Linked DNA regions of Ovis aries. The protein of the gene in region 2 purifies or fractionates together with the protein of the main gene of each other region. This does not show direct contact. Links are inferred from orthologs where the notes say so. Each region holds a gene or a part of one and is shown on either strand. Other genes may lie near its edges.

Region 1 (5,995 bases), on a different chromosome or scaffold from region 2:
GCCAATCTTGCAGGTGGAAGATTCTAAGCAGCTCTGATTTTGGGGGCGAGCGGGGAGGAGTAGCATTTACTAAACCCTCAGGCTGTGCCCCAGAGAAGGCACTGGCACCTTAATCCAGTACTCTTGCCTGGAAAATCCCATGGAAGGAGGAACCTGATAGGCTGCGGTCCATGGGGTCGCTAAGAGTCAGGCACCACTGAGCGACTTCTCTTTCACTTTTCACTTTCATGCACTGGAGAAGGAAATGGCAACCAACTCCAGTGTTCTTGCCTAGAGAATCCCAGGGACGGTGGAGCCTGGTGGGCTGCCATCTATGGGGTCGCAAAGAGTCAGACACGACTGCAGTAACTCAGCAGCAGCAGCGGTGGGCTGTGCCCAGGAGACGCCGTGTACACACACAGTCACACTGCAAACCCCCAGCTCAGAGAGAAGGGAGTGAGTGGTTAAGGGACTTACCTCAGTTTCTAAGAGAGGCAGCAGGGCCTTACATGAAGATCCAGGGGCCCCTCTCCCCAGTGCTGCCTGCCTCTCCACGGAAGCAGGGGGCAAGACTGTGTCTCCGCTGGCACCCTCCCCCACTAGCCAGCCCCCGCCCACCAGCCCCACCATGAACACTGAGACCACCAGCTCCCCACAGCCAGCAGCAGGCCCGAGGCATCGTCTCCCGCAACCTCACAAGCACCCTTGCTTTCATCACCCCGATTTCACAGCTGAGGTCTCCACACCTCTGAGACATCGAAGGAGCTGCTGAGGATACAGCTGCCACATGGCAGCGTCAGGATCTGAATCAAAGTCTTTTTGGTTCCAGACTCTGCCAACCTGTGAACCAGTGACCAGAGGGCTCCCCAACCGTCCACCCCTCTGAGGCCAGGCCCAGCCAAGCGCAGGTATCAAGTGGCCAGGCTCCTGCCCCCACCCGAGGGCTCTTCCTGTCCCCTGGCCAGGCTCCCACCTTGATCTTCTGTTGATAGATGTTGTCATCCTCAGCATATTCTTTGTATAGGACAGAGAGCTCCAGCCGCTCCGAGACCAGTGGGTTCTGCACAGCAATCTGTGGGATGGGGAATCCATTACACTCTGACAGGCAAATGGAGTGACCCACACCTGTCAGCCCGAACATCTAGCTGAGAGTGGCTGGGCCAGTCACCCAGCGGCACATGGACCTCACATTCTCCCCATAAAGGCATCTAGTATCAGCTCAGCCTGGGGAGGAGGGAGCTTCCACAGTAAAGACAAACGGTAGGCCTCAGTCCAACCAATGTATCCCCAAAGTAAGGCCACTGGCCACAGCCACTCACCTCTTGCTGAATTCGGTCCTGCTGAGCCATGATGGCTTCATCATAAGCAAGACAGTTAACACCTGGAAAAAGGAAGAAGGCCAAGTATTACAGTGGGCCCTGGCTCTCCCCACTCCAGGAAGCTGGGCCGAGGACAAGAACGGGCCAGGAGAGCAGACGTGCAATCTGGAAGCATGCATCATGCCCTGCTCCACCCCAACTGTGGGATCTTGGCAAAGTCCTTCCATTTCCTGGGCATGAGTTATCTCATCTTTAAAGGGAGGAGGCCAGGGACTTCCCTGGAGGTCCAGTGGCTAAGGCTCCGAGCTCCCAATGCAAGGGGGCCTGGGTGTTAGGTAAAAGACGACCAGGACACCAAAAGAGTGTCTAACAGGCTTTAATGGCGAAGCGCTCCCGGGCGGGGTTCCCGGACCCGCCCAGAACGTGTTAGAAGTTTGTTTATATATGCACGCTGCGAGGGATGGCCAGGTTAGTGGATGGGGGTTTGGATAGGTTGCCGGGCCGAGGCGTCACGGGCTGATACGTCCTTCTACGTGGCGGAGGTGGGGCAGCTTTAGCTGGCAAACTGTGCTGTCACTGGTCCCCGGGATCTGGGAGGCCCCTTCCTTAGGGACTTCCCCCGCCGACGGGGGAGGGAAGGGGCGGCCCATCATGGCCCCCCGGGGTCCGATCTTACACTGAGTTTGATCCTTGGTCTGGGAACTAGATCCCACATGCCATAACTGAGACCTGGCACAGCCAAATAAGTATAAATAAATGGTGGAAAATAAAGTAAGCAGGCCAAGGTGATCGCCCCCCAGGGTACACTCTTCCAGCTCGAACAAGCCCTCTCCCCCTGCTCTCTAACATCACTTCCGAGCAGCCCGGAAGGCCCCTGAGCCAGGTCTATTGAGGAAAGACAGATGAGGAAGCAGACCATCTTCGGCTAGATGAGCGCTTTGCTTTCCTCAGTCACACCATTCCTCCACCTGCCATCCTGGGTATTCGTAGTGGTGCCCATTTTACAAAGAACAAAAACGCAGACAGGTGAAATCACCTGCCCGAAGTCGCGACGAGGAAGACCTGTGGTCAATCCCAGGTTTGTCTAATTGCAAAGCCTGGGCTCTTTGCCACAATAACTCCCCTGGCACCTCACTGCAGAGGCTCATCATCAGCTGTGAATAGAGACAGATAGCACCACCTTCCTCCCTTCACTGTGATGCCCTGAGGAGATGGTACCTTAAGAGGTGTAGTTCAATACTCATCACTGAGTTGGGCGGGTCCACCCTGTGGGCCCCATGCCAAGCAGCCACTGGTGAGGAGCCAGGAGACCTGAATCCTGGCTCTGGTTCTTTCTTAACTTACACGATCCTAAACCAGTCCCTTCGGGGATTGGGGGGAGGGTCTAGGTCCCCAAAAGCTGTTTTTCAGTGTGCGGTTAGAGAGGGAGCTGTGTGCTAAATGACTTTTAAGGCCAATCCTTTTGATCTTGAGCAGGCCGGGGCCTCAGCTGGGCTTCCACCCACCCCCGACACTGCACTGCAACTGGGCCATCCCTCCCAACCCTAGTGACCTCCTCAGTCCCCAGTGTCTAACTCAGGGGTGAAAAGAAGAGGGTGGGACCGTTTTGAGAGGTCCAACTCTTCAGGGGTCTAAGGAAACTATGCCGAGACAGGAAGCAAGGGGCTGCGAGGCTAGGAGAGGGGACTCTACCGGAAACGAAGGGCGCTGCCCTCCTGGGCACACACCTACGGCCGCTCACAACCCCGGGCGGCCCGCAGCATCCCCAGCGGCCCGCCCAGTCCTTTGTGCTCCGCAGCCCGGCGTAATTCGACGCCCTCCCGGGCTCGGGCCGCTCTGGAGGAGGCGGACTAGACGGGGCCGGACTAGGCCCGGGCCTGACTGCCAGGTCCGGGGCGGGAGAGCCGGGACCCGGGAGCCGGACGCCCAGCGGGGAGGGGGCTGGGCGGGGGGTGGAGGGGCGGAGCGGCCTAGGCCCCGCCCCAGGAGCGCGCGACAGGGAAGAGTCGCGGGCCGGAGGCCGGCCCGCTTTCTCTCCCGCCGCCCGGCCGGCCAGGGGTCGCGGCGGCGGCTCCTTCCATTGTGAGGGGGAGGGGAGGCGGCGGACGCGGGGGAAGGGGCCCTCCGCTCGCTTCGCCGCCAGCCGCCCCAGCCCTGGTTTCCTCGGGAACCGGCCATCCGGCATCGCCCCCGCTAGCCCAGGCCGGGCGGCTCTCCCCTGGTCGGTACCTTCGGAGTCGCTGCCAAGCGGCTCCTGCTTCTGCTGCTGAGGTTCCTCCGCCGCCATCTTTAAACAGCGCCGCACTGCCGACCGCTTCCGGGTTACTAGTCGGCCTCCCCCCGGAAGACAGCCCCTCCTCGAGGCCCCTCCTTGGTAACGCCCCTAGCAACGGGATCCCCTCGGGCGTAGTCACCCGAGGGGCTCGCAGTCTCGTTCGGCGGCGGCGGAAGCCGGGGAAGTGAGGGCAATCCCCGCCCGCCCTCCTCCCGCACACTTGCTCGGTTCCATCTTTCCAGGCTCCCAATGTGCCAGGTGGTGATAAGAGCTTCCTGGGGCCACTTGAGTTTTCTTTTCACTAGAGTTTGAAACGCGGATTGTATTATTGAGATAAGCAGGAAAATGAAATTCAAATCACGGAAGGCAATTCCCGCTGCGGGCTCCAGAACTCAAGACAGGCGAATGCAATGAGGATCACTTGGCCGAGGAGACCGGGAATTCTGCTAATATCCGAGCTCTGGGAATTCACCGCCCCCCTCCACCGAGTCTCGGTTCCGAGCGGGCTTTGGTGTCCTGCTTCTGACCGAGAGACCACGTCCCTCGGGGTCGACCTTACTTTGGACTACCTGCCCTTGTGGTTATGAGAAAATCAGGATTTTTTTTTTTTTTAAGATAGAAGTTGACAACAATGAAAAACAGATTCGTGGTTCCCAAGGGTTGAGTCGGAGTAAGGAGGGAAGTGGATGTGGTTATAAAAATGAAACAGAAGTATCCTTGTGGAGACAGAAGTGCTCTTTATCTTGAATATATATGGAGATCCTGGAATATGCTGTACTGTAGCTTCAAACGCAAGATGTTACCAGTGGGGGAAAGTGGGTAAAGGATACCCAGGATCTTTCTGTGTACTCTGTTAAAATCACCTGTGAATTATCTAAAAATAAAACTTAAAAAGTGTCAAGGCCTTGGATGCTGAAGATGCAGTTATTTAGAGAAGTCACCTTCAGGGGTACTGTTCCTTTGCCTTTCTCTATGGAGGGCCTTTTCCATGATATGACAGTGGTCTCTTAGCACTTGAGGAGGCCGTGTCTGAGCCCCAATCAGATCCCTCCGTTCATGATAATACAGGTGCAGAATAGGATGAATATCTTCATGAGCTACATCCAGTTCTGGAGTAGGGACGGTTGGTGCCTGGGCTCACCACACTGCCCACAGTGGCGCTCTCACAGCAACGCTACACATGCCAAGTCTTTGCCCCAGCAACATGGCAAATTACTATTTCCTAGGTCACCACCAATCCTTGTGTTTGCTTCGAAATTCAAGGAAGCAAAGGGGCTACCCATTTGGATCCCACTCCTACCACACTGGGCTTCTCGGGCGACACTAGTGGGAAAGAGAAGCCTGGCAGGCTGTCTATCGCCCAGAGTCACAGAGTCAGGCATGACTAAAGCCACTTAGCGCAACACACACCCAGAGTACACACGCTGTTCATTCCTTTTCCCAGTTTTGCCAGTGCAACCTGGAACTGCCAGTTGGAGCTTCAGTTAGTAGCTTGTGCATGCCGTGTTCAGGCGTGGCCGACTTTACAACCCTGTGGACTGTATCTCGCTGGGCTCCTCTGTCCATGGGATTCTTCAGGCTAGGATACCGGAGTGGGTTGCCATTTTCTCCTCCAGGGGATCTTCCCGGCTCAGGGATCAAACGCGGGTCTCCTGCATCTTCTTCCTTGGCAGGTGGACTCTTTGCTGCTGAGCAACCTGGGAAGCCCTCAGTCAGTAGCACTGGTATTACCAAACGAGGAGCAGTCGGTGACAAAAGCGTGATTTCTATTTTGGCTTTACAAAATCCTGAGAATAGCTGTAAGACAACTCCACCTTTACCTCCTTACTTTGACTAGGGAGTCTGGCGGGTGGGGAGCACGCAAAGGGGAGCTGGATCGGGATTGGTGTGGGGACAGAGAATACAGTTGCTCTGGAGGGCGAGAAGGAATCCGTCTGTGGTCCAGTGCTGGACTGCGGCCATGCTGCCAACGCCAAGTAAATGCCTCCCTCAACACAAGGGTCTGGGGCTGAAAGAACGGATCTCCACCCTCAGTGGATGCAGGGTGTGTAGCTGAGGGGCTCTCCCGCCTGCTGCCCACCCTCCCCCTCTTGTCAGGCCGGGGGAAGCTTTGGCTCTTAATCCAGTGTCAGGATGGTCAACTTTTGCCCTGCTCTTTTCCATGTCAATTTGGTGATAACTAACTATTCTCTTACCCTCATTCCATCTTTCTTGATACTTTTTTTTACCATTTTCGAGTTTTGGTTCTCCATCCTGAAGAACCTAAAACCCAATAGCATATTTGCCAGGAATCACCAGCTCCAGATGTCCACTTCTGCCTTTCAATCTGCAAACCCAGAAATGAATGGCCACACACTGCTGGTCCCGCTTTCCGAGGCCTATCACGGAACAGGCAGCACTGCTGCTTGGGGTCAGGCTGCTG
Region 2 (5,366 bases):
CCTACTGGATCCAGGCAAAACCATCAGGAAGCGCCTTGCAGCCACTTCATCTGTCGCTCCCCAGGTAATGCACACTCTTCAGTGACACTCAGAGCCCACTTCTGAGCTACACTGATCAGCGGCTAGAGTGTCTAGGTAGCTTTGTGAAGAGACATTGATGAAAAAAAAATAATAATCTGGGAGCCTCAAGATCCAAGGTTCACCTCCTGTAAAGTCACATCTCTTCTCCAGTAGGTGGGGATGTTCTCTGCCTCGTGTTCATGGGAAAACAGATGCCCTGGAGCCATAGCTCATGCAGGCCTTACAGCCGCAGCTCAGGTGCCCTACGGATGCTCTGTCCCAAGCCAAGGGGCTTTTGGATTGTTTTCCCCACAGCAGGAATCTTTTATAGTCTTTATTTATTTTCTTATTTTTAATTGGCGCATAACTGCTTTACAATATTGTGTGGGTTTCTCTTGTTCAACAGCATGAATCAGCTATACACATATATCCCCTCCCTCTTGAGCCTCCCCTGCACCCCAGCGCAGCCCTCTCCGCCATCGCAGAGCAGCGAGCTGAGCCCCCTGTGCTATTCAGCAGCTTCCCTCTAGCCATCTGTCTTGCGCGTGGAGGCACATGTATTTCAGTGCTGCTCCCCCAGTTCACCCCACCCTCCCCTTCCCCACCATTTCCGCCAGTCTGCTCTCTGCGTCTCTGTCTCTATTCCTGCCCTCCAGCTAGGTTCATCTGTACCATTTTTCTAGAGTCCATATATATATGTTAATAGATGATATTTCTTTTTCTGACTCACTTCACTCTATAACAGGCTCTAGGTTCATCCATGTGTCTGCAACTGACTCAAATGTGTTCCTTTTTGTGGCCGAGTAATATTCTTCTGTATATATATGTACTATAACTTCTTTATCCATTCATCTGTCAGTGGACATCTAGGTCACAGCAGAACTCTCAGCCTCACACTCTCACCTCAACTAAATTCCCCAGCTTCCTGATTTCTTTTTTATTTTTTTGCTGCACCTTGTGACTTGCAGGATCTCAGTCCCCCGACCAGGGTTTGAACCCAGGCCCCAGCAGTGAGAGCACTGCGTCCTAACTGCTGGTACAACAGGGAACTCCCCAGCATTGTAATTTCTACCCCCACCTCTCTGGCTACCGGTTTTTGCCACAGCCTCACTCATCTTTCCCAGCCCCCAACAGCTGTTTAGGTCTCTGCTTTATTACCACCTCAGCAACAGCCCCAGTCTCTGTCCCCATGGGACAGCTGGGTTGGTAGCCCAGGTCACCTGGCCTGCCAAGCGGACAGTCCCAAGAGCAGCCAGCAGCCAAGGTTATGAGACACGAAGCCAGGGGCCAGCGGAGGTGGCGCTCGCAGAGCCAGAGTAGCTGATGAGCTGTGTCCTCCACTTTCAGAACTCCATCCGCCACAACCTCTCTCTACATGACATGTTCGTCCGCGAGACGTCTGCCAACGGCAAGGTCTCCTTCTGGACCATTCACCCCAGTGCCAATCGCTACCTGACACTGGACCAGGTGTTTAAGGTAAGCATACTGGTTTTGTCCAAATAGAGCCAGTGCTGGAGGTCATGATGTCCATCCATCTCAAAAGAAAACAAGTCCTTGGTGGGGAGGGGGGAGGCAGGCAGCCAACCTTCGGATAGGAATCCATCCTTCCACCCCCTCTGCCCTACCCCACCCCCAGCTGCCGGCATCCTAAATAAAGCAAACTTTCCTCTCCACCAAAAATAAGAAAGAAGCAAGTCCTCCTTGGGATGAGCTTGTCTGCTAAGGGCAGAGTTAAGGGCCAACCAGCCCATAAGGAACAGCACCTTCTCTGCTAGACCAGGCCCCAGAGAGGACTTCCTGTTCCAGAAAGGGGACCTCCTGGGGCAGGATGGCCCCTACTGCCCTGTGATAAGAACTACCTAGGATACTTCTTAAAGTACAGCCTCCCAAGCCCCTCTTGGGGCTTCTGATTCAGTAGGCCTGGGATGGGCCCAGGAGTATATTTTTAGCAAGAATCTCAGGTGATTCTTGGGTTTTTAAAAAGCCGATTTTTACAGTGGAGAGTAGAAACGGAGCCTACAGAATCTCTCGTCAGAAGCGATCACTTTGGGTCTTCAGAGTGCCCACAAGGCTGCCACTAGCCGCCTCCACTCTCCCGGGAGAGCCCATAGTTGAGGGTGGCCCTGGGCGTCCATCCGGAGTAGGTGTATCCATCTGGTCAGCTTGACTGCACTGGTGGTAACTTGGTCTCATTTCTCTCCCACAATGCCCATCCACCACCAGCCACTGGACCCAGGGTCTGCACACTCGCCCGAGCACTCGGAATCAGTAAGGTTCTTTCCCTCCCGCTCGGGGCTCGGCCTTGTTTCCCCTCCACGCTCAGCATGGCTTCGGTGACGGGGACAAGGTGTTAGCCGGAGACGGGAGCCTGTGGCCGTGTGCCTGCCAGCCCTGGACGCAGAGCCTTGCTTCTGGGCGTCAGGACACTGGTGACTGCCACCGCCTCCCACTCCCGTGGACTCATCAAGGTGGCCTGAGCAGAGCACGTGTGGCAGGGGGACCTGCCACAGGCTCACTGCAGGATGCTGATGAGGTGCACGGCACAGGCCCAGCGGGCGGCCGTTGCTCTCTCTTCTCTACCTGGCTTTTCTTTGCCCTCCTAGAGCTCCATGCTTTGCACCCTGGGGGTGAGGACACCTGGATGAGGTGGGAGGATCGCCCGCCGCCCTGTGCCTCTGTTGCCAACTTCCGGGACCAGGCGGTTGGTCCACTCCATGCCCGGTCCCAGAGCAGCTGCTGGTGGGGTCCCCTACCCCGTCCCCCTACCCTCCTGACCCAGGTCTGTCTCTCTCCCTCTCTGTCCCAAACAGCAGCAGAAACGGCCCAACCCTGATCTCCGCCGGAACGTGGCCATCAAAACCGAACTCCCCCTGGGTGCACGTTAGTATAGGGGGAGGCGTGGTCCCTGGCACACCCATAGTGGGGGCAGATGCGGGAGTCAGAGCCCAGGGAAGGAGAGCAAAGAACCCAGGGCTGGGAGGGGACCCGGCCCTGGACCTGCTCCTGACCGATCCTGTTCCCCCAGGGCGGAAGATGAAGCCACTACTGCCGCGGGTCAGCTCGTACCTGGTGCCCATCCAGTTCCCTGCAAACCCGTCGCTGGTGCTGCAGCCCTCGGTCAAGGTGCCCTTGCCCCTGGCAGCCTCGCTCATGAGCTCAGAGCTTGCTCGCCACAGCAAGCGAGTCCGCATCGCCCCCAAGGTCAGTGCCTCAGGTCTTCTCCGAGGAGAGACTCCAGTCCGTGACGGGCTCTGCTTCATGTCTGTTGAGAAGCTCGTAAATTTAGTGGGTAGACCAGGCATCGATACATAGGAAAATGCAAGTGTTATAAGAGCCAAAAAGGAACTTGTTAGGGACTTCCCTGGTGGTCCAGTGGTTAAGACTCCACACTCCCAGTGCAGAGGGCATGGGTTTGATCCCTGATCAAAAAACTAAGATCCTGCATGACACTCAGCATAGCCTTAAAAAAAAAAAAAAAAAACCCTAGTAAACTGTCCTTAAAAAAAAAATTCCCAATAAAAAGGAACTTTACAATGTAAGTGGTATTGGAAGGCCCACATGTGCCTGATGAGTTTGTGAGAATTGAGATGGGGGTGATTGTTATAGCAGATGGGCTGGGAGGTTCAGGAAGAGTTCACTAGGGAAGCAGGCTTAAGAAGTAGGTTGGGGCAGCAAACAGTGTGGAGAGGGCCTTGTAAAGGGCATGGCCTGGGGCACGCCCAGTCACAACCATAGAGTGGCTGGACAGTCTAGCCCTGGGTTTCTCGACCTCCAAACAGCTGACATTCACGGCTTCCCAGGTGGCGCTAGTGGTAAAGTACCGGCCTGCCAACTCAGGAGATGTAAGACACTCGAGTTCGATCCCTGGGTGGGAAGATCCCCTACAGAAGGAAATGGCAACCCACTTCAGTGTTCCTGCCTGGAAAATCCCATGGATAGAGGAGCCTGGTGGGCTACAGTCCATGGGGTGGTAAAGAGTCAGAGGCGACTGAGCATGCACAGTGCTTTGTGGGGGCGGGGTGCCACCCTGTGCCCTGAGGGATGCTTAGCAACCGCATCCATGGTCTCTTTGCCGGATGCCAGGAGCACCGCCTGGTGTGACAGTTAGGACATCTTCTGGTGTTGCTGGGAGTCCCCTGGGGAGAGCTGCTGCTGGCTGAGCCTCAGCGGTCGAGCTGGAAGGCTGGAGAGGGCAAATTACAACCCCACCATGACATAGAGAAGAGTCTGTGAGCAGGACCGGGCCTGTAACAGATTAAGGAAGGGCCCTTCTGCCCCTTTCTCAGAGATAGAAGTAGCTGCAACTTCAGATAGAGAGACTTGGGTTTGCTTTTGTTTTTTAATTTAAAAATATCACTTTAATATACATAAAAGTATATATACCGGCATAGATAGTTTTCCTTAAATGCCTTCATGTGATTGTAGCGTGGGTAATGTTTCTGTTTCAGTGCAGTCTTGCAGTTTTTTCCTCCTTCATTTTGCCTCTCCTCACCTTCCCCATGTCCCCCTGCTCCCCGTGATAAGCCATGTTGACAGTTTAGCGTGCCTTCTCCCATGATTCCTTCATGCTCTTAGTATGCTCTGCGCACATGGATCACCGTAACCATGTTACACATGCACACACACCACCCAGAGCCTTGTCGTATTGCCCTTTCTGCCCCATGGAAATTCTTCCAATCACTTGTCATCACTCTAATTCACAATTTTATTTAAGATTTTTTTTTTTTACGTGGACCTTTTTTTTTACGTCTTTATTGTATTCGTTACAGTATTGCTTCTGTTTTATGTTTTGGTTTTTTGGACTCCAGGGATGTGGGATCTTAGCTTGCCAACCAGGGGTCGAACCCAGGTCCCCTGCATCGGAAGGCGGATTCTTAACCACTGGATCACCAGGGAAGCTCCTTATTCGCTATTTTTCAATGGCACATAATAGCCCATGATGTGGCTGTGCCATAAATTTTCTAACCATTCTGCTTTCATGGGCACATTTTTTTCAGGCTTTTTTGCCCTATGACCAACATTGTAATAAATACCTTTGCAAGTATCTTTCCTTGCTGGTGCTTTCATTTCTGTGGGTAGAGAACAAGACATGAGATTGCTGAGGGGGCAAGTGTTTTAAAGTTTATTAAATACTGCAAGATTGATTTTAAGAAAAATCTGTGATAACTCACATACATACCAACAAGCCCTGTTTGCCAGCAATTGGTATCATCGCCCTTTTACAGTGCTTGCCCATGTCCAGTGTGTGAAGGATACTTGCTTGTTTCATTTCATCTTCTTCTCCTTATGCGTAAGTCAGCAGCTGC
Region 3 (5,366 bases), on a different chromosome or scaffold from region 2:
AGGGTAAAAATCCTAACACTTAAGTGTTCTGGCAACCCTCAGACCCTTCCCAGCTCCCTGGGCATCTGTAGAAACTGGAAGCAAGCTGCTGGCTGCTGGCCCATGTCCTGAGGCTCGGGGATCTCAAACATGAGCCCTGATCACCTCCCATAGATAGAAAATGACCAGAGAGGGCAGAGCAAGAAAACACAGGGTCTCCTGCTGACTACTCTGAGCCTTGGCTTTTTCATCTGGAAAATTAGATCACTTCCTCCTCCATCACTTGTCACTTAAGTCAGAGTAGTGACACGTAAAGGCAGGGAGGGTAGCACAGTGGTACAGGAGCGCAGGAAGTGTGGACGGAGAGAGGCCGATGGGTGCGCAGCAGAGCAGGACAGAGCAGCAGAGGAGAGTGGGACAAGGCTCAGGGAAGCACGGGCCGCGGAAGCACGCGTCGGCGTCGGTGTGAGCGGCCCCAGCGCACACGGGTCGCAGCAGTGCACAACTGTGGACACACAGGGACAGTGCCTTCTTTGGGGCTCTGGGCTGAGTGCTTTTCCACCAGAATAACAGCTTGAATAGGCCACCAGTCTCAGAGGAGGGTCTGGGCACTACGCGGAGGTGGCCAGGGACTCACCACAGGCGGGAAGGACAGACCAACCTTCCCCGAGGAAACATTCCCCACCAAAAACCAAACGGTGAGAGCGAGCTGGCTACACAGTGGGCACCAGGCAGGGGGCGTCCAGGCTCCATGTCTGTGGGCGGGAGGAGAGCATAGTGCAAAGCCCGATAGGCAAGCGAGGGTGACTGCGGATCAAGGTGAGGCTGTGGCATCAGCGAGGTCAGGCTGGCCACACAGGGAAGAGTCTCCATCCAAGGGTTAGTGGAAGCACCAAAAGTATTAACACACTTAGGTCTGAGTTTGGAAACAGGTATTTCAGACTCCAGGGAAAACAGGCCATCTGGTATTCTATCTCCTTTCCCTCCATGCCATTTACCCTGGCACCACAATGCCATCGTAAAGAAAAGATTAGAAATAAAGCAAAGTAGAAATGCCCATGGACAGGGCCAGTGATTAGGATGCAGCATTCCTGAGGAAGGGCGCATGGGTTTAATCCCTGCTCAGGGAACGACGACGATCTTGTGTGCTATACGGGGTGGTCAACGCACGCACACAGACATACACACACAGACACACACACACACACACACACACATGCACACACACACAAGTACACAGACAAGAGAGCAGGGTAGATGGTAGTGGTGAATAAGAGATTTTTACAGTTTCCAGAAGCAACTGTGTGAAGCAACTCGGGAGACTGGGGTGGACCCTGGACGATCTGGCAAGACTGCAGCCCAAGTCCCAAGTTGTTCCAGTTCTCCTTGCAGAACCTCGAGAGACCCAGTGCTTGGAGCGGCCAGGCCCAGTGAGGAGTAGAGTGAAAACAGAGCAGTGCTTTGGACGTCCAGACCAGGAGGAATGAGACTTACTCTCTTTTATTAAAAAAAAAAAAAAAAAAAAAAAGACCAGGCAACCCAAGCCACGTGGCTTCTTAGGTGTCACAGTGGTGAGGAACTTGCCTGCCAGTGCAGGAGGATCCAAGAGACACGGGTTTGATCCCTGGGTTGGGAAGATCCCCTGGAGGAGGGCACGGCAACCCACTCCAGTACTCTTGCCTAGAGAATTCCATGGACAGAGAAGTGTGGTGGGCTACAGTCCACGGGCTCGTAAATAGTCAGGACATGACTTCAGTGACTTAGAACGCGTGCAACCATGGCCAGGGCACGAAGCCAAGTGGGCCCAGATGAGAACCTGCACCGTGAACAGGAGGCCCCCAGGCCCGCCCCACCCCGCTCCAGTCTCCCAGCAGCCAGGTCCCTGCACCGCCCGAGGCAAGAATCTGAAGGCCTCTTCTTCTGGGAAGAGTAAACACCACCAGAGAAATCGGACTAGGCCTTGAACATCCCCACAAAGGCCAGGGGATGCCCTGACCGGCCCCAGCGGGCGGCTCACCTCCCCGGCAGCATCTTGGCGATCTCGGCCCAGCGGTTGCCCAGCACCTTGTGGGCCTCGCAGATGATGCGGTCCTCCTCCTCCGTCCAGCAGGACTTCTTCACCTCGGGGTTGAGGTGGTTGTGCCAGCGCTCACGGCACTGCTTGCCCAGCCGGCCCTTCAGGTGCTTGGCAATCAGCGTCCACTGCTTCGTGCCATACTTCTTGACCAGCTCGATGACCTTGGGGGAAAGACGCTGTGAGGCCAGCGGGACCCCCCCCACCCCCTGTTTCCCACCCTAGCACCCACCAGTGGGATGTCATCCTCAGTCTCCTGACCCCCTCCCCCGGGGTGCGTGAATGCCACGGTGTAGCAGGCTCAGGCCCAGGCGTTACCTTCTGGTCCTCCTCTTTGGTCCATGGCCCTTTGACGAGGTCTGGATTCAAGACCCTCAGCCACCGATACTGGCACTGCTGGTCAGTGCGGTTCTGGGAAAAGGACAGGCATCCTTGAGAACTCCTGGCCTGTGGCCCTACCTCGTTCCCAGAACCCCCACACACTACACACCCACGGTCCAGGACACTGTGGTTCCCTTTGCTACAAGTGGGCCTGGATGGAAGCAGGCAAACTCAGAACCCTGTGCAGAGCCACTGCCCACAACTGCCCTGTGCCAGCCTGCAGGCTACATCAGGGATTCTCGCTTGCTTCTGAAAGGGGCTATTTCCCTGAAGGTTTCAGACCCTGTAGAGGACAGGGAGTGAGGAATGGGGCCAAAGGGTCTGGTGACCTGGTCCCCGAGCTGCCTGATGAGCCAGGAAAGCCAACAGCAGCTCCTGCCACATCCCCTCCCTGTCGGCCACCTGCAGAGCTGGGGGTGGGGGATCCTAGGGGGAGCCACATCACCAGGAGGCTCTAGATGCTGGACATGGTGGCTCGGGTCAGCTCTGCGGGGGCCTCACCATGAAGCCTGCTCAAGCATCATTTCCTCTCAGGTTCAGTTTCACGGTTGAGAAACCGAGCAGCCACTCGTCAGTGACTTGCAGGAAGAAATGCAAATATGCCACTGATACGACGCATGATCATGGAGCCTAAGGCCCCCAGGCACCCAGAGGCTGCCACGTGGGGACGCTTACATCAGGGTGCCCCGATTCCAGTTTGGGTAGAAAGGGCCTCAGGAGGCTGGAAGGTTGTTTTGTTGGGAGAGCTCGGGGGCGCCTGGTAAGGAATTCTCCTTTCTTCTCCCTGACACCAAGTCTCTCCCAGGCTCCCTATCCGGGGGAGAGGGCGGCAGAGGGGCTGCACTCACGGGAAAGTGGCTGGCCAGGAACTTCCAGTCTTGCTGTCCAAACTGCTTCACCAGGGCCTTCAGCTGCTCGTCCTGCCAAAGCCAGGAAGACAGAGGGCTCAGTTCACACGCGTGCAGAAAGCGGCTGCTCTGGACTGAGACCCACCCTCCCTCCAACAAAGAGAACAGCCTCATTCATCCATTCACGTGATGAAGTGATCATCTAACTGTGCACCAGGCACGCCAGCATCAGAGCTGCTCAACTTTGGGGACTTAAAGTCTAGCGGGAAGCAGACGCTAATCAAAGGCTCCTGCAAACAAAAGGAGGGCCACTCTGTGCTGCAGGGATGGAGAGATGGACAATGAGGCCTATGGGGGACCCAAGGGACAGGCTCCAAGGAACTCTAGTGAGGCTAGGCTGCAGGAAGCAGGAGACAGGGAGGCAAGAGGATTTGGGGGTGGGGGCGGGGGCGGCGGGGATCAGAGCACACGCAGGGTTGACTCAGGCCTCTGCGTCACGCAAGGCCACAGATGCACTGAAGCATCACCACTGACAGGTGGTCACAGTCCAACGTGCTTGTTGTGAACTTCACTTTGGCAGCTGCAGGAGAAAGGGCTGCAGGAGGGCAGAATGGAGGATAGGAGGCCATTACAGGCATCCAGGCCAGAGACGACAGTGACCCAGCCCTGGAGACAGGGAAACGTGGGCACTTGGAATGGAAAAACATATCTGTTAGAACACTCTCCTGAACATAAACTCGTTCTCCTGAATATAAACTATTGATTCATGCAACAACATTAAAATCACAGTATCATTAGGATGAGAAAAAGAAGTCAGACATAAGAAGAGTACACATTGCTTAATTCTGTGCAGAGGAACTTCTAGAAAAGGTAAACAAAGCTATAGGGACAAAAAGATAGTCAGTGGTGTCCATGGTCAGGGTTGGTTGGTGGGTGGAAGAAATGAACAGCAGGGAGCAAGAGATGCCTGGGGTGATGGGAACACCCAGCAAGGTGGTGTTGCTGTGAGTTTCACGGCAGCACATCCACTGAAACTCACTGGATTGTACTTCAACAGTTGTAGCTGTTTGTGTGTAAAATATTCCTAGAGCAAACTGACTGTTTTTACCCCCTGCAACTCGTAGGTTCTCAGTTCCCCCATCAGGGATTGAACTGAGGTCCTCACAGTGAAAGCTTGGGGTCCTAACCACTAGATGGCCAGGGAATCCCCCAAACTTATTTTTTTTAATTTATACATATAAAGAAAATGTAGTATTATCCATACAGTGGAATATTATTCCGCCTCAAAACAAGGAAATTCTGTTACAAGCTACAACCTGGATGAACCTTGAGGACATTATGCTAAGCAAAATAAGCCAGACACAAAAGGACAGAGACAGCCTAAGTCCACTCATATGAAGAATCTAAAGTAGTCAAAAATAAAAACCAGGGACTTCTCTGGTGATCCAGTGGCTAAGACTGTGCTCCCAGTGCAGGGGGCCTGGGTTCAATCCCTGATCAGGAAACTAGATTCCAAATGCTGCAACTAATGATCCTGCATGTGGCACCGAAAAAATGATCCCATGTGCTACAACGAAGACGAGGGCAGCCAAATAAAAAAAGAAATCAAAAACAGAAAGTAAAACAAGGTGGTTGCCAAGGGCTAGGGGGAGGGGATGGGGAAAATTAGTGTTTGATGATTCAGCTTTCTTTGCAAGATGACAGTTCCAAAGATCTGCTGCACAGTGAGAATACGCTTCATGTCCTCAACAGACACTTGAGAACAGTTACAGTGGTTTAACATTCGGTGTTTTTTCACACACTCTCTCTCCCGGGCAGGAGGAAAAAAAAGGCCACCACAGACATCCAGACCCTCAACTGCAGCTTGGCCACAGCCCAGCACCAGCTGGACAAAGTCCCCATAAATCCTGCTGTGGGGCCAGCCCACGTCCACACAGTCAGCTCCAGACACCATACCCTCCCTTGCTGCCCATCCCACCTGGTCAGGCCAACCCTTGCCTTCTGCCCATGTCCCCTGGGTCCATCTCCAGCACCACCATCCTCCCTGACAACGGGGGTGGACAACTCCCCACTCTCCAATTCCT
Region 4 (5,896 bases), on a different chromosome or scaffold from region 2:
GTCTCAAAAGGTGGCTTGCCCACTAACAAGGTATACCTGTAAGCACAAGGAGGGATTTGGCTCAAGGCTCCCAACCAAAACCCAGATGCAGGGAGGAATCCTCTCAGGGCCAGAAAGGAAGTCAGACATCTTTTGGGCATTCACTGTGACTCTGGGGCCCCAGAGGACAATTCACAAGTTCACTAAGCAGCCCCAGGAGCCACGACACTGGCAGGGAGGTACCCTCAGTAGAATACAGGTGATGAAACTGGGTTCTAATGGACCAGTGACTTTTTAGCTATAGCCTGCGGTAATCTAGGGGCCAGAGGCTGCCAGCTAACATGGAACAGGTCCAAGCAGGGGTCACTTTCCTTGAGGCAGCCCCACAGTTAATAGTTCTGTACTTTAGGCTGCAAGTTTTCATGTGGGAAATTCCAAGGCAAAGAAGTAGGAAAGCCATTTCTAACTCTCCAGTATCCAGGGAAACAACAAAAGGGGTAACACCTGAACAGGCCCAACTCTCTGCCCACCACCCACCTCTGATGGCCTTGACCCAGACAGACCACAGGACCTCCTCCTGCCAGCACCACTCCTGGCCTAATTCTTCCCACCCAATGCTGCTTTTTAGATCAGTGGTTCTAATACTTTATTGTGCATAGAAATCACTCAAGGGTCTTAATACAGATTGTGATCCAGTTAGTCTGGGTCTTGAGATTCTGCGTAACAAGTTCCTACGTGATGCTGCAGCTGGTCTGCCGTACTTTGAATAGCAAGGGATTAGAGCAAGTTTGTGGAGACATTCCCTCCCTCATTCCCTGAACCCACAGCCCAGGCTGCAGGAATCCTACAGGATATACCAATTCAGCAATGAGGGTTCCTTCAGAGACCATCTGTCCTCTGGAACAGTCTTTCCAAAGGCGGAAAGGTCTGCAGGATAAAGCCTGCCAAGTGAGATGTCCAGAAAGCCCCTTGCTGAGACTGGTGGGTCCTGAGACAACTCCCAACTTACATGATGCACCCAATGGACCATACGTCCACCTCGAAACTGTGCCCTTTCTTGCTCAGCACCTCAGGAGCTATGTAATTAGGAGTCCCGCACAGGGTCTTCTTCCGTTCCCCGTCATACTCCACTTTGGTTGCCAGTCCAAAATCCCCTGGGACAGAGGGAGGAAGAGGGAGGCTCAGATGCCAGCTTCTGTCGTCTGTCAATGCAGACAGCTGGTTCAGCTGGTAACCATCAAGAACCAGGGTCAAGTGATCTCTCAAAGCCTCTAGTCCTTGTGTACAGCAAGGACTAGATTCCTGTTACCCAGGAATCCTCCCACCATGCTGGCCCTAGGGAAGGGCCTCCCAAAGACTCTCATCACCCCTCCCCTTAGAAAGGAGGGGTTTACTTCTAAAAGGGAACTGACAGGGATCTGCTAAGTCGCTTCAGTCATGTCTGACTCCATGTGACCCCACAGACAGCAGCCCACTAGGCTCCTCCGTCCCTGGGATTCTCCAGGCAAGAATACTGCAGTGGGTTGCCATTTCCTTCTCCAACACATGAAAGTGAAAGTGAAGTCGCTCAGTCGTGTCCGACTCTTCGTGATCCATGGACTGCAGCCTACCAGGCTCCTCCATCCACGGGATTTTCCAGGCAAGAGTACTGGAGTGGGGTGCCATTGCCTTCTCCGACTGACAGGGATAGCAAAACTCAAACACCTTCAGGGATTAAGCAAGTAAATGTCAAGATGGCTACTTGGCAAGTTTGTGAGGAAGTGATACGGAGGGGTGGGGAATGTGGCAAACCATAGGGCATCTAAAGGGAACAGCTGCTGTTCAGTACAGCAAAGAGCTGTCTTGAGGGAACGCTACCCCTGTACTGCTGGAGCTCTCGAGTGTTTAAAAGGAGCTCCAAATTCAAAGTTTTACATCAAGGCTCTCAGTTTAAAAAAGTGAAAATGAGGAGCGGCTTCCGTGATGGCTCAGTGGTAAAGAATTCACCTGCCAATGCTGGAGAAACAGGTTCCATTCCTGGTCGGTGAGGATCCCATGTGCCACAGAGCACCTAAGCCCATGTGCCACAACTACTGAACCTGTGCTCTAGAGCGCTGGAGCCACAACTGCTGAAGCCTGCGCTCCACAAGGAGAAGCCACTGCAATGAGAAATCCGCACATGCGACGCAGAGTAGCCCCCACTCACCGCACCAGAGAAAGGCATGCAGCAGCGGAGACCCAGTGCAGCCGAAATAAGTAAATTGAAAAAATATTTTTAAAAAGTGAAAACAAATCCAAATTCTTAAAAAAAAAAAACAAACTGTATAGAACACACTGCCCCCCTCAAAGCACATCTGCAGACAAGACACTGGTTTGTAGCTCTTTAAGTTCCTGTCCTAAGAGAGGATTCTACAGCCAATCAACAGCCCAGACTTCCTACCATCCTCTTCCTCTCTCCCTTGTCTCTTTCCAAATTTCCTCTCCCTCACCCTCCCTCCCAGCTCCTCCTCATTCCCACTGCATGTCAAATGCCCTTGCAGTCCCAGCTCCTTACCTATTTTCACCTCCAGATCCTCGTTCAGGAAGAGATTGCCCAGCTTGAGGTCTCTGTGAATAACGCGGTTTCCGTGCAGGTACTGGCAGCCCAGGACGATCTGCCGCAGGTAGTAGCGGGCCTCGGGCTCCGTGAGAGCTTTCCTCCGCTTGTGCAGCTCCAGGAGAGACTGGGAGCAGGAGGGAAGGAGAAATGGGAGCCGGTGCTCAGACCCAAGGCAGGGAGGGAGTGTCATTAGGTAAAGGCAGCCAGGACGCTACTAACCATTTCTTCAGGACAACTGCGATCCAGACTCCCCCCCCCCCCAAAACCAGGCCGCAACAGTTCATAGCAACCCTCTCCCACTGGCTCCCTCCCAAAACCCTTACCTGGGACCCCTCTCTCAGACCCCTCCGGAAGCTCAGAGACCCCAGTATCCCGGTCCCGGAACTCTTGGCAGCAACAGGTCCCTTTCCTGCCCCTCCCCTCCCCCGGAAGCTCCGAAGTCTGGCTCCAACTACCCTCTGCCTGACCCAACCCTACTCGGGAAAGTGAGGGTCCGCAATATCCCTTACCTAGCAACTCCAAAGCCCTGGCGTCCATAAGCAAGGTTCTCCCGCACCTCCCCCAATCCGCCCAACTCCTAGCGTTCAGAAGCCGCCTTCCCTAGAGGCCCCAAGTGCCGAGAACCTTCCCTCTCCCCAAGACTTTCTCCATTTCCAGTTCCAGGTTCCCAGCACCTCTTCCCTAGCAGCTCTGAGCCCCGGGGCGCCCCTTCCCCAGCAGCTCCGGTTCCCAGTGCCCCAACCCCTGACGCCAGGGCAGTTCCAGTTCCCCAGCAGCGACACTCACCCTCCGGCGGCAGAGCTCCAACACCACGAACACGAAGTCGTTGTCTTCGAAAAAGCCGTGGAAGCCTACGACGTGCTGGTGAGCGAGGCTGCGGTGAATGGATATCTCCATGGACATCTTCTCCTTTTGGTGCGGTTTGAGCAACAGCGACTTAGGCACGATCTTGCCCGCGAACACCTCCTTAGTGTCCGCATCCGAGATCTCAAAGCACTTGGCAAAGCCACCCTTCCCCAAAAAGCGACCCCGTAGATAGCGCCGCCGGCTGCGAGGGTCCACTAGGACCTCCGGAATCTCTTTCGCCGGCGGGGCGGCCGTCGGAGCCCCGGGAGCTGCAACTCCGGGCGCTTTCCCTGGGTCGGCTGGTGCCCGCCCCAGCTTCCCTGCAGTTGCCGCCGCACTCATGTTCCCGGAGTTGCTCAGCGGACCTAGCAGGGTCTAGGCAGAGGCTTGGCACGGCTCTGCCTCTCCTCGAATTCAAACGCGGCGCCGGGAACGTTACAAGAGCCTACGCGCTACTGATTGGCCGCGGGGATTTAAAATCCAAACCCGCCCGCCGCGCGGCACTCTGGGAGCGCTCGGCACTGCAGCCGCCTTTAAACTCTCACCCAGGCCCTGGGAGGAGCTTGATTGGCAGGGATGGCGGACGGAAGACACGTGGGATGCCTGGGAAACCAAAGCTGGTGTGGGGCTGCTGAGACCCCGCCCCAGAAGAGGGTGCGTTCAGGGTTTCTCCTTTCTCGACGGCAGGGGAAGCTCCTGCAGTCCGCGAGGACCTCCTCCAGGAAGCTTTTCCCAGCACCTTCCTCCATCCCCACCTCGCCTTCTAGATTATAAACTCTGAGAATAGAGACCTAGAATGAGAGACAGCATGGGGGAGCCCTAACATCCGCCCCGGAAGTCACCAGCTCTCTTCCAAATCACCCCATAAACTAAAATCGAAGTCTAAAGAGAATGCTTGCCAGGCAAACGCATCTTCCAGACAAACCCCCTACTCTTCTTCAAATAACAGCAGGGGCCACCAACATCACCAACACCTGGGAGCTTGTTAGAAAGCCAAAGCTTCAGGCCTCAACGCAGACCCCCCCAATTCAGAATCTACCCAGTGATTCCCACACATATTGAAGTTTGAGAAGTACAGTACCAGAACCCCACCACCCCCGCCAGGGTCATTCTGCAAGAAAATTGTCTGGCTGGCTCACTGCTCTATTTCCCAGTGCCTAAAATAGTGGACCCTCAAGTGTTTTGTAAGAGGGAAAGATGACAGGTTGGCAGAATGCCTGGCAAACTGGTAAGCCAAGGTCAAATTTGGCTGCAGAGGTGTTTTGTTTGGTCTTTCACTTTTTAAAATTTGGATTCATATACAGGAGTGAAAAATCAAGACAGCTCACATAAAAATGCAACTTTGAAAAAACTATTAGCTGTTGCAACTCTATGCTTACTTAACATACCTTCCCAGTTTGTCAGAGTTCCCTGATAACCCTCCTTTGCCCCTTTGCCTGTCTGGCTTCCATAGATACTTAAGTGGCAACCCTGAGAATCACTCAAGTTGTAAGCCCAGCATCCTATGATGTCTTTGCTAGGAGTCAGCAAAAGTCATATCAGTTATCTCTTTACATAACTCCCAATAAACTCAGAGGCAATGAAGACATCTTTCCTACCCCATGTCCCAAGCTCTCAGCACAATGCTTGGCAAAAAGGAGTGACTAAAATGCTTTATAAATAAAAGGGAGTTGTTTTTAAAAATTATTATTTTTTAATCCCTGTGGTGTACAATATTGTTTTATCTTTTTATAAAGTTGAATCTATGTACCGAAAAAGTATACATCTGTTAATTGGACAGCTCAGTGAATTTTCACAAAATGAGTACACCTCATGTAAGCAGCACCCAGACTGAGAAAGAGTACACGACCAACCACCCCGTAAGTCCTCCTTGTGCCCTGGGGCGGGGGGGGGGGGGCCCAAGACCATCCCCCTACAGGACTCAGCATATAGTTCTACTCACAGATGACTAGGATTTATTACAGTGAAAGGTTATGAAGCAAAATCAGCCAAGGGAAAGGTGCATAGAGCAAAATCCAGAGGAAACCAGGCACAAGCTTCCCAGAGTCTTCTCCCAGTGGAGTCAGTCACACAGGACACAACTCCTCCAGCAATGAGTGTGACAACACGTGTGAAATGTTATCTACCAGAGAAGCTCATCAGAGACTCCAGCCCAGGGCTTTTCTGGGGTTTGGTCACACAGGCACCCTCTGCCTGTAACACACCAAAATTCTACACTCCTGGAAGGAAAGCAGGCATGCAGCATAAACCACAGTTTACACAGTTTAAATTCAGTAAGCAACTCCTGTCATTTAGGGAATGGTGAGAACTCTCCTGAAATTCAAGAACCCAGATGCCAGCTGAGGGTCAATCTTCCAGCTGACGGCACTGGGAGCTTTCCTTCAGGAAAAGGGGAAAGTTTCCAGAATATTTCTGAGAAATGAAGATCATAAATGCTCTCCCCGCCCCCAAAGCTCCCTGGGTGCCAGGCTTTTGATCAGCAATACTAACCTG
Region 5 (5,366 bases), on a different chromosome or scaffold from region 2:
GGGCACTTTCTAAATGCTTAATGTCCTTGCAAAATTAAAGCCAAGTTTTGAGTCTTATCCCAGATTCTAACAATAAATGTAAGCCCAGCCAAAGAGCTGGAGGGCCTGGGGTGATGGGAGCGGGCTTCCTGCCGGGAGTCAGGTGGTCCAGAAGGCTCTGAGGGGTTGGCTCAGAGGGTGCCCTGGCCTCAGCAGGCCTCCTCCATGCGTGGTGGGTGCTCCTTCCCACCGCCCCACCCACCCATCTGCCCCGTCACTCGGACCCTGGGATGCTCTGGCGCCGAGTGCTGCCTTGGCTTCAGCTGCTCGCAGCTTCCCTGACGCGCCACCTTCCTCTCCTCACGCTGCCCTGCCTGCTCCCCACCCACCGCCTCCCCACCCCATGGTGGTGCCGTTGTTCCTGGATCTGAGCAGTCTGTTGCTCAGCCATCTTTTCTGATTGACTGGTCTCCTTTCAGTTGTGTATGTAGTGTGTGTGTTCCATCTTATTTGGCTTCAAGTTTCTCTAGCAAATCGTCATTCTGTTTTCCTGTGGGTGCTTTTCCTAATGAACTGTTGTGGGTACGTTTACAGGGATGAATTCATTTAACCCAATATCCTTGGGGAACGTACAGTTGCCACAAGCGCCCATGGGACCGCGTGCGGCATCCCCCATGAACCACTCTGTCCCGATGAACAGCATGGGCTCTGTTCCAGGGGTAAGTGCTTGTCCTCCGCTCAGCTGTGCTGAGACGGGCTTGCTGCAACAGGACAGTTCTCCCGCGGGAGCTTGGAGGTTGGGAATCCTGTGGCGCTTGTTCCTTTGGATAGTGTTGTGCTTTGGCAACTCCATCTCGCCCTCTGGTCCTTATTACTACAAGCATTATTTGACCGTCACTTATTTTTACTGAAATGAGAGATTCCTTGGCACCTGTGACTTTGTGAGAAGATGGGAGTTCTGGGGATGTGTGACAGAATGAGAGGAAAGGTGTCAGCATCCGCTGGCTCTCAGAGCGTCCTCTCCTGAGGCTGCTTTCTAAACTAGTCCGAGAACTCCTAAAAGGCGTATGTGAACTTTATACTATGGCATGCTGTTGATTTCTGTTCAGAGGACTGTGTGGAGCTGGCTCATTAGAGACCTGCGTGGAAAAGTGTGCAGAATGCCTGGGAGCAGGGAGGTCTTAGTGCATGGGGGGGGTCCCCTCCTGTGACGGGGGGAGTTGCAGATTCCCCTCTCTTTCGATTCACCCTGGAGACACGGGCCCTGCAGCCCTCTAAACGCAGTGGCTCACGCTGTCTTGTAGATGGCCATTTCTCCGTCCCGAATGCCTCAGCCTCCGAACATGATGGGCGCGCACGCCAACAGCATGATGGCCCAGGCGCCTGCGCAGAGCCAGTTCCTCCCGCAGAGCCAGTTCCCGTCGTCCAGCGGGGCGCTGAGTGTGAGCAGCGTGGGCATGGGGCAGCCAGCGGCGCAGGCTGGCGTTCCACAGGTACTGTCCATCGTTGTAGTTGTCATTTTCTTAATTTTTGTTTGTATGTTTTAAATTCTAAGCTTCACATGTGATCCTGAGAGACGCTGGTTTTTGAAGAGGGAGGGAGGAAAAATCCCTTGAGTTCACGCTTAATGGTTCAGCACCTGTTGGTCTAAACTGCCCAGGCGAAGTCCAGCTAACTGGGCCATTTGAGTAGTTCCCTTCTTATTGAGTGTGTTTTCACTCATTCAGTATAACGCTGGCGGGGACTGTTTTCCACTCACCTTACTGCCTTTCCCCGACTTCTATTAACTGGTAGAGTGCATCAGATTGCTGCTGTGTACAAATGTACACATATTTAAAACAGACCAACTGTTCTCCTGAGAGGTCAGATTCATTATTTAACTTAACATGAATAACATTGAATAAGAGGCAGTGACTACACTAGATTCACTAAATAAATACTTATTAGTTAATTGTTTTTTAAAATTTTATTTGTTATTATTTATGTTTGGCTTGCTGAGTCTTCCTTGCTGCGTGTGGGCTTTCTCTAGTTGCAGTGAGCGGAAGTTACTGTTGGCGCAGTGCCCAGGCTTCTCACCGGGGCAGCTTCTCTTGTGGAGCCTGGCCTCTAGGCTTGAGGGTTTCAGTAGTTGTGGCGCGCAGGCCTAGTTGCCCCACGACATGTGGAATCTTCCCCGACCAGGGATAGAACCTGTGCCCTCTGCACTGGCAGTTGGATTCTTAACCACTGGGCCACCAGGGAAGCCTGATGCCTATTAATTAATTCTTAATCTGCATAAATTTTATTTCTCTAGCAAAGAGGTCGACAGGTTCGTCCTGTAGATATTTTCAGCTTGGTGGGCCGTGGGGGAACTGCTCTGCTCCACTGTTGTGACACAGGCAGTCATAGACATGTGCATTCACATGTGAGTGAATGGACAGGCTGCTGGCCAATAAAGCTTTATTGACAGAGACCAGCAGCTAGCTGGGTTTGGCCCTGGGCCCTGTGTGGTTGGCAGATCCCTGCTCTAGATTCAGAGTAGCTTTTTAGTTGGCCCACAGGTAATTCTGAAGCATGTCCCTAGTTGAGAACTACCATATTTAAACATTTCAGTGTTTGAGTAACTCATTTTTTTTATAAAAGACAAATACCTTTTCCAGTGGTCTTAGCTGTTGGTGGATATTATGGAACATGAGCTAGTAACTGGAGTGTATGTGTGTTTGTTTAAGCCAGAGATTTCTACACTTACGTAAATCAAAGTCTGATTACTACAAAAGCAGGTTACTATAAGTGTGCAGGTCAATGACATGTTACAAGCGGAACGTTCCCATGTAGTCAGCAGACCTCATCCGGAAACCGTGTCAGGTTCTCATATATTTAATTCTTTATGTCTGCTGCCACATTGTCAGACGGAGGGGAGAACAGTTTTAACTCTCTCTTTTCCTTCTGCCTGTCAGGGGCAGGTGCCGGGGGCTGCTCTTCCCAACCCCCTGAACATGCTTGGGCCCCAGGCCAGCCAGCTGCCTTGCCCACCAGTGACACAGCCGCCACTGCATCAGACCCCGCCTCCCGCCTCCACAGCCGCTGGCATGCCGTCTTTGCAGCACCCAGCAGCTCCCGGGGTGACACCCCCCCAGCCGGCGGCGCCTACCCAGCCATCAACTCCCGCGTCGTCTTCCGGGCAGACTCCCACCCCGACTCCCGGCTCCGTGCCCAGCGCCAGCCAGACGCAGAGTACTCCTACGGTCCAGGCAGCTGCCCAGGCCCAGGTGACCCCACAGCCTCAGACCCCAGTGCAGCCTCCGTCGGTGGCCACCCCACAGTCATCGCAGCAGCAGCCGACACCCGTGCACACGCAGCCCCCTGGCACCCCGGTGAGCCCCTCGGCCTGCGGCCGTCTGCCCACAGAGTTGCAGATGAGAACTTGCCCCTGAACAATTGGTCGTGAAGCACCACAGGTCTTGGTGCAGCTGCACAGCGTGTGTGTCCGCAACCTGATGGAGCTGTAACAGGCTGTATGTTCATTCCAGAATGGGCTCTGGAGGCCAAGTTTGGCAGGACATGACTTGTGATTATCTTCCCAGTTAAACCAGCTTATAGAAATCAGCAACTGAAAGAGCTCGTACATGGGTCCTCTGTAGAATATTTGAACTATCCACAGCAACGTCACCTGTCACAGGTGGTGATCCCTGAGATTTAGTTGTCTTGAGGGTTTGGTAAACAAGTCAGGTTTTTAATTGTACGTACTTTGACCTTATCCGTCAGCCTTGTTTTCCAGCTGGAAGCTCTTTCTTTTTCATGACAAAATGGCACAGCCAGGTTAGCACTTCTGTGGCTCAGATCTCCCCACTCCTCCGGGGAGGTGGCAGTGGCAGGGTCACAGCACATCCTGTGTCCCAGTCCTGTGCTCTGCTGTGGCAGCCGGCCGGGCCCCCCCACGTGGGGCCATCCCCACCCACCCCAGGGGCCTGAGGCTACTGTTCCTCACCGAGCCATGGTATCTGTTTTCTTACCAGCCTAACTTAAAAACTTCCTTCCCCCTGAAATGCATTAACTTTATTTGTGGGGACTGAGGATATTTATTTATAAAATGTCAAAATTAATCCCAAGATGAGTCCCAAGATGACACTTTTTATTTTTCCATAGGGAGTGTTCTTCTTGTTTCTTATTTTATATTATCTCTGAATAAGATCCCTTTATAATGTTATGTTTTGTTTGTTTACTTAAAACTCTTATCAGGTAAATCTTTGAAAACTTGAGAGTTTTTTTTGGAGATTTCATCTCTTAATATTTGTTTACTCCTCTACCACTGTTCCTGCAGTTAACAGGCTAGTTATACACTCTTGTTCCAAGTGAAGTGAAGTCGCTCAGTCATGTCCGACTCTTTGCGACTGCATGGACTGTAGCCTACCAGGCGCCTCCGTCCATGGGATTTTCCAGGCAAGAACACTGGAGTGGGTTGCTATTTCCTTCTCCAGGAGATCTTCCCAGCCCAGGGACTAAACCTGGAGCTTCCCTTGTGGCTCAGCTGGTAAAGAATCCGCCTGCAATGCGGGAGACCTGGGTTTGATCCCTGGGTTGGGAAGATCCCCTGGAGACAGAAAGGCTACCTACTCCAGTATTCTGGCCTGCAGAATTCCATGGATTGTATAGTCCATGGGGTCTCAGAGTCGGACACGACTGAGCAACTTTCACTTCACTTCACTCCCACATTGTAGATAGACGCTTTACCGTCTGGGAAATCCATATAGGTACCTTATTCCCCTTCTGACAGTGTATATACACATATTTATTATTCATCCTTTTAACAAAACCATTAGTATCATTGTTGGAAAGAACTGAATTTAAAATAGGTTCTCTGACTTATGTAGAAAATTCCCAGAAGATAATTTTCTGTCATAGTGTAGAAAGCTTCTGCTCTCGCATCTCTGCATTGTTGGCAAGAAGTCAGTTGTGTCTCTGCCTGATGACTTCTCTGGAACTCTTCCTTTAACTCTTGCATCCTTCAATTCTCTCAAATAGGGGTGCCTATTAGGTTAGTATTGAGAAAGATTAACATGGATCTTTGTTGGGTGAGCAACAGGGTTTAAGATCATCTGTGTTGTTTACAAAGATAAGTGATTTTGGTTTCCCCACAGCTTTCCCAGACAGCAGCCAGCATTGATAACAGGGTCCCCACTCCATCCTCAGTGGCCAGCGCCGAAACCAACTCCCAGCAGCCAGGCCCCGAGGTGCCACTGCTGGAGATGAAGGCTGAGATCAAGACTGAGGACACAGAGCCCGATGCTGGGGAGCCCAAGGGAGAGCCCGGGGCTGCGGTAGGTGCCTTTCCTGGACATGGGTGGATGTGCTGCACACGGAGGCGCCAACACGTGTCGTGTTTCACTACCCCACTCAGTTATGGTTCA

The links.
Region 1: the proteins of FOXM1 (region 2) and OTUB1 purify together in Homo sapiens (affinity purification with western blotting; 4 studies listed by BioGRID, with this or other methods). This does not show direct contact. The link is inferred for Ovis aries from reciprocal best matches to the Homo sapiens genes FOXM1 and OTUB1.
Region 3: the proteins of FOXM1 (region 2) and MYBL2 purify together in Homo sapiens (affinity purification with western blotting; 3 studies listed by BioGRID and IntAct, with this or other methods). This does not show direct contact. The link is inferred for Ovis aries from reciprocal best matches to the Homo sapiens genes FOXM1 and MYBL2.
Region 4: the proteins of FOXM1 (region 2) and PLK1 purify together in Homo sapiens (affinity purification with western blotting; 5 studies listed by BioGRID, with this or other methods). This does not show direct contact. The link is inferred for Ovis aries from reciprocal best matches to the Homo sapiens genes FOXM1 and PLK1.
Region 5: the proteins of FOXM1 (region 2) and CREBBP purify together in Homo sapiens (affinity purification with western blotting; 5 studies listed by BioGRID, with this or other methods). This does not show direct contact. The link is inferred for Ovis aries from reciprocal best matches to the Homo sapiens genes FOXM1 and CREBBP.

What each region holds. Positions count from the first base shown.
Region 1 is NC_056074.1:38,766,049-38,772,043, reverse strand, and holds the start of OTUB1 (ubiquitin thioesterase OTUB1), read right to left. Parts: upstream 3,607-5,995; 5' UTR 3,586-3,606; coding exon 3,528-3,585; intron 1,361-3,527; coding exon 1,299-1,360; intron 1,052-1,298; coding exon 953-1,051; intron 1-952. UniProt on the Homo sapiens protein: Hydrolase that can specifically remove 'Lys-48'-linked conjugated ubiquitin from proteins and plays an important regulatory role at the level of protein turnover by preventing degradation.
Region 2 is NC_056056.1:212,731,351-212,736,716, forward strand, and holds part of FOXM1 (forkhead box protein M1), read left to right. Parts: intron 1-1,407; coding exon 1,408-1,536; intron 1,537-2,283; coding exon 2,284-2,328; intron 2,329-2,870; coding exon 2,871-2,940; intron 2,941-3,085; coding exon 3,086-3,261; intron 3,262-5,366. UniProt on the Homo sapiens protein: Transcription factor regulating the expression of cell cycle genes essential for DNA replication and mitosis. Plays a role in the control of cell proliferation. Also plays a role in DNA break repair, participating in the DNA damage checkpoint response.
Region 3 is NC_056066.1:72,204,017-72,209,382, reverse strand, and holds part of MYBL2 (myb-related protein B), read right to left. Parts: intron 3,355-5,366; coding exon 3,283-3,354; intron 2,465-3,282; coding exon 2,372-2,464; intron 2,218-2,371; coding exon 1,997-2,217; intron 1-1,996. UniProt on the Homo sapiens protein: Transcription factor involved in the regulation of cell survival, proliferation, and differentiation. Transactivates the expression of the CLU gene.
Region 4 is NC_056077.1:21,879,852-21,885,747, reverse strand, and holds the start of PLK1 (serine/threonine-protein kinase PLK1), read right to left. Parts: upstream 3,853-5,896; 5' UTR 3,746-3,852; coding exon 3,344-3,745; intron 2,682-3,343; coding exon 2,513-2,681; intron 1,134-2,512; coding exon 989-1,133; intron 37-988; coding exon 1-36. UniProt on the Homo sapiens protein: Serine/threonine-protein kinase that performs several important functions throughout M phase of the cell cycle, including the regulation of centrosome maturation and spindle assembly, the removal of cohesins from chromosome arms, the inactivation of anaphase-promoting complex/cyclosome (APC/C) inhibitors, and the regulation of mitotic exit and cytokinesis.
Region 5 is NC_056077.1:3,648,305-3,653,670, reverse strand, and holds part of CREBBP (CREB-binding protein), read left to right. Parts: intron 1-573; coding exon 574-698; intron 699-1,283; coding exon 1,284-1,472; intron 1,473-2,915; coding exon 2,916-3,332; intron 3,333-5,096; coding exon 5,097-5,276; intron 5,277-5,366. UniProt on the Homo sapiens protein: Acetylates histones, giving a specific tag for transcriptional activation. Mediates acetylation of histone H3 at 'Lys-18' and 'Lys-27' (H3K18ac and H3K27ac, respectively).